2 linked regions of the Ovis aries genome follow. The protein of the gene in region 2 binds, or shares a complex with, the protein of the main gene of each other region. Links are inferred from orthologs where the notes say so. Each region holds a gene or a part of one and is shown on either strand. Other genes may lie near its edges.

Evidence for each region.
Region 1: RALGAPA1 (region 2) and RALGAPB share a complex: the UniProt entries of both Homo sapiens proteins name them as parts of the heterodimeric RalGAP1 complex. The link is inferred for Ovis aries from reciprocal best matches to the Homo sapiens genes RALGAPA1 and RALGAPB.

The regions. Positions count from the first base shown.
Region 1 is NC_056066.1:67,422,136-67,427,355, reverse strand, and holds part of RALGAPB (ral GTPase-activating protein subunit beta), read right to left. Parts: intron 4,967-5,220; coding exon 4,819-4,966; intron 3,002-4,818; coding exon 2,937-3,001; intron 1,699-2,936; coding exon 1,569-1,698; intron 1-1,568. UniProt on the Homo sapiens protein: Non-catalytic subunit of the heterodimeric RalGAP1 and RalGAP2 complexes which act as GTPase activators for the Ras-like small GTPases RALA and RALB.
Region 2 is NC_056071.1:43,524,102-43,528,406, reverse strand, and holds the end of RALGAPA1 (ral GTPase-activating protein subunit alpha-1), read left to right. Parts: exon of another isoform or gene 1-1,358; coding exon 1,359-1,507; 3' UTR 1,508-2,702; downstream 2,703-4,305. UniProt on the Homo sapiens protein: Catalytic subunit of the heterodimeric RalGAP1 complex which acts as a GTPase activator for the Ras-like small GTPases RALA and RALB.

The DNA of each region.
Region 1 (5,220 bases), on a different chromosome or scaffold from region 2:
CACACAGACATCCACTGGGATTTGAGAGCTTCAATATCATTCTCTAACAGTATAAATCTCAACATTTCCAAATTAACTCACAGAGTTACATTAAAAAAAAAAACAACAACGAAACAATCAAAAGGCTATCAATTATTTCCTTGGAATTTTATAGAGGAAGGAATTCAAATTCTAGAATCTCTTCAGATGCTGGGAATTATCCTAAAGCATCTGCTGAAATTATTTTCAGGGTTCATATCGTCAAAAGTCACATGCAATGCTTTTTCAAGCAAACTTTAACATTTAATTCTCTGAGACAACTTTAATACTCTTAAAAAATTAAATAATCAAGTAACTGTGTTTTTATGTAGCCTCCAATTCTATATTTAAAAGTAATTACTACTCAGTTAATAATAAATTAGGACAAACTAAATTGAATTTATGAAGGAAGCTTTAGGGACATTATACCTGTCGATCCTATCAGAAAGAGGGCAGTGACAACAGAAAAAGGAATGATCATTAAAGAGAGACATTCATGCGACACTAACACAAATCTGGATTTCTTAGTAAAAACTATTTTATGACATTACAAGCAGAACTCACTAACACCAGTTCAAAATACTGAAACAAACAATAACCACTTCAAACATTTATATTAGAACACATATAATAATGCAAAAATTTCTTTAGTTTAAAAACATTTTAGAAGCAAGAAAAATAAACAAATTTTCACCTATATTTAAATACAAGCATAACGAATACAATAACAATTCAAATAACTTCTTCATAAATGCAATATTTAAATGTGTTAAATAACCACACAATGACCTTATGTATCTGACAAGCTGAAGGATACTTATAGCAAACTTAAATCACTGAAACATGCCTGGACTCCCGGGCTTATAAACTCTCCAAATGATTAAAACATTAAACTCCATCTAAGAAGTTAGATTTCATTCCAATCTAGTTGGATTAATAATCTTAGATTCAATATACCATTAGTATTTATGCATAAAAACATAAAGGCACCCATAAACTCAACAAAATCCAGAAAGCAACTGGCCATGGTAAAGGACATTATTGAATAGGATGCTCTACTTGCAAATGCTTCCTTACTCTTTGTGACTGAAGAATCTAACCAGACATAGTAGGGTACACAGGCTTCAAACACAAAGGCAGACTCTCCTTTGGGTTGCCATCTAATGCATAAACCATCCTCACTACACTGCAAAAACTGAAACACTGACTGATTCTGCCATTAGACTCTGAGGCAGTGCCTAAATCCTATTTGATTCTGAATTACTAGCACCTGGTTATAGAATTCAGAAATGCTTCCTATAAATCACTTATAAAACCTAAGAAACTATCCAAAATCTAACTACTAAAAACTGTAGAGCTAAATTTAAAAGATCTGTTTTCCTTTTCATAATGTTTTAGACTAATAGCTTCTCTGTTATATTAAGTACACAAAAATTATGAACATGAAAATCTAGTTTAAAATTTCTCTGCTTGTTTTATATATCTGGGCATTGAAAGTTATTCTATAACTTAAGATTAAAAAAAAACAAACTAAACTAAACATGGCTTACCATAATCTCTCAGGAGAGCTTGAGCAGGTCTTTCACTGTCAGGAGTTGTGGGTTCTGTGCTTCCACCACTCGCTGAACTAATACCACTATTTGTGCGACTATGACTCTTGAAGTTATTTTCTCCACCACCCTAGTCAAAAAAAAAAAAAAAAAGAATCAAATATGCAAATATGGACAGAAGCCAATCACTAAAAGCCATGTAGGTAAAATGGAATGTGCCAGCTAAATAGCACAAACTGATACATAGATAAAAATTGACAAAGGATTAAAACTGTTGTGGTATTTTTTTATATAAACAGGATTAAAACTGTTGTGTTTTTACATAAACACCATTTACTAGTGGTATCAAGGGTCTGATGATTAGAGGCTGCCCATTCTGGAATCATCTTTGCTGCTGTTTAAAAGGATCAGACTATTTCCACCTTCACTAGACTTCAATAGTTAATGGTTCTGGGTCTGTAAAAAAATACCCTAGTGCCTTCCAGAAAAACTTCAGAATAGGAATACATCTTAAAAAACAAAACACAAATAAATGACTTTCCAATGTTACATAAAATACACAAACAATAAATATATGATTAGTATATATAGCATATATTAGTATAGATAGATAGATAAAGATCAACTCATATGTACAGGAGCTAATGAAGGTATCTGCTAAAGACTTCCCTCATCTCCCCTACAAACACATTTCATCTTATCCATGTAAGGTGACTGTTATTAGCCACCTACTGGGACGTGAACATAATTTCCTTAATAGTAATTTGATCACCCATCCTACATCCACTCATCTCACCCCAGCATACTCGGTTAATTCCCTGCCTACCAACTGCCTGCCTCTATTCCAGGTAGAGGCATCACACATCTTGAAGACAGAAGCAGGGAGCATTGGAGTCTCTGGAAAGTATTTCTGATTTAGAGGCACTGGTGCTTTGGGAAAACCTTCAAACTTTGGTCTAGAGGGACAGAAAGAGCAGCTGAGATCAAAAAGGATAAACTAGATGGTGTTTACAGCAAACACTACATCTACTACAGATACATGGAATCAGAGAATAAGGGAATTTTTCTAGATTATTCAAGCCAATTCACCAACACAGCAAAAGATATAAAAGCTTTAGGTAAACACTGTCCAGGAGTAAAGACACTGTTTAGCTGGAATTTCTCTCCCGAAGAATCTCTCAGGGACCTAATGAGACACTGAAAGGTAAGAAACCTCAAAACAGATAATATTTTTAAAAGGACCCACTGAATCAATGAGCTGAATCTACAAATGCCTTTAAGAACACAAGGACAGACATTTTGGAATATAATTCACATAAAAACAGAAGTTGATATTCTCTGACTAATTACATATTGTATGCTTCTTACCATCTCCATTTGGCAACCAATAGCTTCTAAAAGTGCTGAATCTTGAACAATATTTAACATTGCCCCTGAAACAACAAAAAAATACATTTAAATACATGACAAGAATATGAAAATGTACAAAATATCTCAATTAACAGCAAAGATAAGAATATGATTTTAGCAGAATATTCCTGGAAATTCCATAAGATTACTGATAAATCCATCAGTTGGTCAAAAAAGAAACTCTTCAAAAATGACCTAATTCTGATCTGCCCCCCAAATTTTAAAATGACATTTTTCTAAAATAAATCTGAATGTCAAACTTTGTTTTGTATAAAAACATGACCAATTTTTAAATTGGTGTAAAAGACTAGATGTAAACATCTCAATTTCAAGGGTAATATAAACTAAGAAAAATATTATGGAACATTTTAAAAACCAGATTCTGATCTTTTCAGTATAAAATAACAAAGTGAAAATCCACAGCTGTATCCTTCTGACCAACTAACTGCTTTTTAAGAATGCTTTTAGGGCTTGCCCACAGCTGCATATTCTGAAGGCAAGCCGCATGTATTTATCACCAAGGAACTCACAGCCCTAGAAACTAGTAAAGAAACAAGACGGTGAACTGTGCACTCCTCGTCCCAGTGGGGGAGTGCTCCCGAGCACTAGGGATAGAGAGAACAGTTAACAGTTTTGCCAAACTATGCAAGAGTGACAATTGGCTCTTCCTTGGAACATACAAGGGGAGCTTCTACAGAACAAGGATAAAGCAGAACTAAATACTCCATCAACTGTAGAAACTATCTGATTTCAACTGATATGTGTTTTAAACAATCTAAAAAACTACAACTTGGAGGCCCTCTCATATTGAGCTTTAACCTCTGTTCATTAAACTCCTTTCCAAAATGAAAGGATTTACTCTTCTATTTATTCTCCCTTCTTGCTGCATAACACACTATAATTACGGGGCACCCACTCCGACCACTACTGTCACCACAAATTCTCCGGCCTTGCTGTTTCCCCTCCTGAAATGAAATCCTAACCTCACTGGTGCCTATTCAAATCCTGCCCTTTAAGATCCAATCTAATTTCCACTTTCCCCTATGAAGTTTCCTTGCTCTTTCAGTTTATTCTCTCTCAACACTAAAGACATCCAACATGACATGCTATCAGCACTGCCTTCTGCTGTTATCTGAGTATTCTGAGAAGGTGTTTCAATCTCTGCAATGAGACTTGCTCAAGGATAAAAGCTGTGCAATTTGCTTCTTTCTCCTCAGAGTACCTATACTTAGGACCATGCCCTTAGATTTGATTAAAAACCAAAGAAGTACAGTAAGAGACAGCTGCAGTAACCAAGTTGAGAGGTGATAAGGGTTTAAAATATAGAAGTGGCGATAATGACGAAAAGTCATTCACAACAGTATGATTAGAAAACCAGTAGGAAACAATAAGGGAAAAGGGAGGAGGCAGAAACAGTTACTCCTCAGTCTCCTCTTGGCAGGTTCTGTCATGACTTCCACAATTACACCCAACTCCAAACAGCCTTGCATGTACTAACGGGCAGGAGGAAAAGGCAGAAGTAAAAGTAATGATGGCAGAGAGGAAAGGGGAGAAAAGGGGGACGCAAGGAGAGAGGAAGGGCAAGTGGGGAAGAGAAAAATAAAGAACACACAAAAAACTAATCCAACATGACCTACCAAGACAACTGATGCGTTCCTTCCCTCATCTCACCTCTTCAAACTTTTTTCAAGTTTAAGAGCAAACAATTCTGCCTCTGATTAAGAATTAAGTAGGGCTGTACTTCGCTTAGGTTCCTATCACTGACCCCCTGCCTCAAGACGCCTGAGATCAACAACAGTATCTGGGTTTCCACTTACAGAAAAAATGTGTGAACACAAACCTAGTATCATTTGAGTGTTGTTGGGGTCCGTTTCCGTTTGCAAGGCACCTATTAGTATATTCACAAGTCTCAGCTTCAGTGACAAAAAAGTTATTGGTTTATCATAAGAAGAGCTGTCATCATTACTAAACTTTCCTTCCAGGACTACCTGCGGAAGAAACAAATAACATTTAATATCACCTGCTGCGGCACACTACAGTCCTGTAGGAACTGCTACAGTGGACAAAGAGAGGATCAGTCCAACGAGCAGGGCTTTCAGTCTGACTGATGGTAGCCAACCGTGCTAAAGTCTATCACTAACTTACACAACATAGGGGATCAGACACACTAGCCTCTCCCCACGTGAAATAGTAGAACGGCTGAGTGACAGAAGAAATACCTTCGCAAATCAACTTTGCTGAT
Region 2 (4,305 bases):
CTCATTTCAGTTAGAAAAGAAAGAATGTTGGAGAAGTTACTTTGAAAAAGAGGGAAATTTACCTGAATTAGGATTAGTGATAAAATATTTTTTCCTTGACAATATATGCTTGTTCTTGAGTATACTATTTGACCTTGAAAACATTTTGAAGTGTTCTATAGAGATACATTCTTAATTTCCTAAGACATCTCAGTAGGATCTGTACCCTTTATTGAATGGTTTTGTTTCTTTATAAATATTCATACCTTCAACTTAGGCACAAGTGTTTCATTATATGGAAGCAGTAGTATAAGTATTCCCAAGCTCAGAGTGTCAGTGAGGAGTTCCAGTGGCTAACAGATGTGCCAAAAGTTTCCTACAGAGTAAGGAGCTGTGTCCATTGAAGCCTGCAGCCTGTGTCATGCACCTTTGTTTGTGACACACATAAAGATAATTTTTATGTACATAAAACAAAGGAAACCTGGATTAAAGTGCCTCAAAATATACAGAATGTTAAAAATTTTGTTATTTGCGGGTTTTTTCAGGGGTTTTTAGTTTTAACGAAATATTTGAGTGCCTATAGTGTGCAAAGTGTGTAAATTAGAGAATCATAATTCATAGACATAACATACAAAAGTGAAGAACTACTTTGTACATGATACGAAGAATTTTCCAATTCGAACTCATTTTTTTTGCTGCTTTCAAATATTTAAATCTACTGACTCTACTGGTAACTAGAGAAGTTTAAGAAAATGAGCATTACTTATCTCTTCTAAATTGAGACACTTTGAGAGAGCAGTTTTTTCTTTTTGAACTGACTTTCAGATGAGAGATCTTGTCTTCACCCTCCTCTCCCCCCAGAATTTATCCTGTTCCTTCTTAAAAACATATTTAAATTTAACTTCCTAGCATGTTTAATGGTCTCATACTACTAAGTCCCTTTTGGGAACGCTTGGTGCTGTTTTATTTTCCAGTTTGAGCAGTGAAGGCCCTTTTGTTGATTATATTCTGTACCCAAGAGATAGCAATTGGTCCTTCTCACCTGCTTCTTAAGCCCTCATGTGCATGCTGATGGTGCTTTGGATCCTTGTCCTTTCTGTCCTAAAGATCTTGCTTCCCATTGCTTCTTCTGGGGAGCTCTCTGGTTGATTCTGGTTCTGGAAATAATGATTGGTGCTTTCTGGCTACTATGATGACATGAGCCCCCAGATCACTGGGTTTTAAATAAAATACTAGTAGACTTTTGTAACAAGCAAATTTGGGGCTTGCTCTTTCCTCTCAAAAGACCTCACTAAGGTCTTTGGATCTGTAGCAGAGAAGTTACTCTTATAGGAGGAGAGCCAGAGGATTTGCACTAATGCGCTTGCTGTTTCCCACAGGCTCCTACCCAGAGATCCTATCCAGTGAAACTCCCACAGCGGCGCAGGTAGACGGGGCCGACCTGGCCTCTCCAATGTCTCCTCGAACGAGCAAAAGCCGCATGTCCATGAAGCTGCGTCGCTCCTCTGGCTCCGCCAATAAGTCCTAAGGAGACAGCAGCCTGGCAGTGGTCACCAGTAGCCACCTTAGCATGAACATGGCGTTAACCCTTCCAGGCTTTGTGTTTGCCATAATATGCATGTTCCTTCCTGAACATTTATTTTAGAAAACACTGGATTTAAATAATTTGTAACTTAGTATTTTAGATTTGGGTTGTTTATTCGGTTGGTTTTTTCCCCCACACTCCACGCTGCCATATGGGGGGTAAGGGGTGAAGCTTTATTCTATACCCTTTACCTTCCCTCACTAATTATGTCCAAGTAGTTTTACTTTGAATTTCATAATTAAATTTGAGCCAAAATATAATTGGACAGATAAGCCTCATGATTTTATCGTGCCCCATTACAACTTTATGGCTCAGTAAATATATAATTTTTTAATAAATGTACATCTTTAAACATTTGTAACGTTGTGGCAAAAGTTACAGATCTGTTAATACACTTGATGTGTATGGATTATTTATGTTATCGAAATAAACGACTTAAAATAAATGGTCTTTTAGCTTCTCAAGTTCCAGCTGAAATAAGTTTAGCATTACCTTTTTCTTCCCAAAGCAGTGTCTCATTTCTCGGCTGTGTAGCAGGTGATGCCATGACATATCTAAAACCAGAAAAATCACTGTGCTGGACTCTGATTCATGTTTAGCTTCCAAATATTTTTCTAATGTTTTGCTTTTTAAATGGTATCACTGTTAAATGCCACTTCTGTTTTGAGATTATGGCCCCTTATTATTGGCTGCTGGACCCTGGTATATCTATGTTCTTTCTTAAGTACCGAAAAGGGAAGAATGAGGTGGGGTGGGTAGGAAAAAAAGAAAACTTTTCTAAGTGTGTGGCTTAAATTATGTGTATTATTTTAAAAGAAAAGGGAACATGACCCAGGAGTCTAAATTAATCTAATATTGTTAATACTGAACATGCAGGTGCAGGTTGGTATACATTCCACCCTCCACAAATATTTTCCTACAGTAGATAAGCTGCTCACATTTTGCTCACGTTTTTTTTTTTTGAACGAGCATCTCCTAAGGAAATGTAGCATGACATTGGTACTAACTGCATGTGTAAATACATCATATCGGCAAACTATAAAATATAAATTATGTATCATCATTCATGTAGTATCTACAAATTTGTAACAGTGGAAAAAAGATGGTATTTAATAATACAATAAAAATATTCTTATCATTTTGTGTTCATGAGTGGTCTTTTATATTTTTTCAGACTTAATAAGCAGGGCCATAAAGCATGAAAAACTAACTTAACTAGGCTTAACTAATCATGAAAAACGAATTTTAACTCTCTTCTTTGGATACACCCCATTTCTCAGAGATCCTACCACAGTTACTAAAAATAGATTTTTCACTTTTCATAGCATCTCACCAGAAACTTCCTCCAGTGCACTTGGTTAAAGCATCTATTTATCTCACTTTCATGCTTCTTTGGTTACTTAAATTTTACTTTTTTTGGTAATATATATTCAGGAACAAAACTTTTTACAGTTTGTAAAGGAAGCTTTCAGAGTTCCTGTGCACTTAAAATTTTGGATTTCCTTATAGATAAAAACAAATTCCTAAGAAACTATGTAGAAAATAAACTAAAATTCCCAGTAAAGCTTATATAAAGGATAAATATGGATAGAGAGAGCTCTGAGAACAAGATTAAACAATACAGTTTCCCACAACCAAAATGAAGAACTGCAAAAAAGATAAAATACCTACTTACAAATTTCTGTAGTGCTTTTCCTTTTTAAAAAAAATGAACAAGTTAATGGTTTGATAATATGTAACAAATTGGAGTGAAAATACTAACTTAAAAATACTGAAGTTAATTAGCACAGTTAACATTTTACTCATCTTCAAATAATTCACTAGTTTTGAAAAAAAATATGTAAAATATTTTCTGTTGACATTTTTGGGTGGTAAAGTATCTTTAATATTTGAAGAATAGTACATATCCCTTGCTTTTTGGAGTTCAGTCTATGCAGCCATACTTCCAAGGAAAATCTCCCATTTATGCACCATTATAATCATTTACAAAATATAATTTCTTTTGTCTGTATTCCAACTAAATGGATCACCAAGATTACTGGCTTTGGGGAGATGAGAAGTGTGGCATTTAGAAACAGGCTGTGTTCAATGGGATTCTTTAGACAAACAACGCAACAAAGCACCAGCTATGTACATTTATTTGGTGGTAAGCATCTTACAAATAGGGGCTACCTGTCCAGCAGTACTCAGCCAGTGTTCCAAACTCTGGCTATTAGGGCATAGGTACAGAATACATGCTAAATATGGTTTACAAAAAGAAATTCAAAACCAGATTGCTGCTGAAATAATGAATTGCCATTCATTTTCATAGTGGGTTATAAGTATTAACATCTTTCTTAAGCTGAACATAGTGTCATATATAATACACATTATAAGATTTACAACAGAAACATTAAAACAAGTTGGATGAAACCCTACTTAAACTGAAACTTTAGGAAATGAGTTCTGTATTTCCCAAAAGCTTATATTAAAGGTTTAAAGTATCTTCCTGAATACTGCACACAAAAGGGCTAGAGGTGAGAATCTGGGAGGGCTCTCAACTCCTTTCAGTAAGAGGCGTTATTCCCCACCTCCAGACACCAGCCTCAGAGTGTACTAAGCATTGAGAAAAGGAAAGTTTACAAGGAGATCTCCACATCACCCAAAAGTGCGCAAACATCTTACATTTCCTTTCTTACAAGACACTGGTCTTGTATTTCCCACCCACCCAATGTAAGTTTGGCACCAATCACATAACTGTT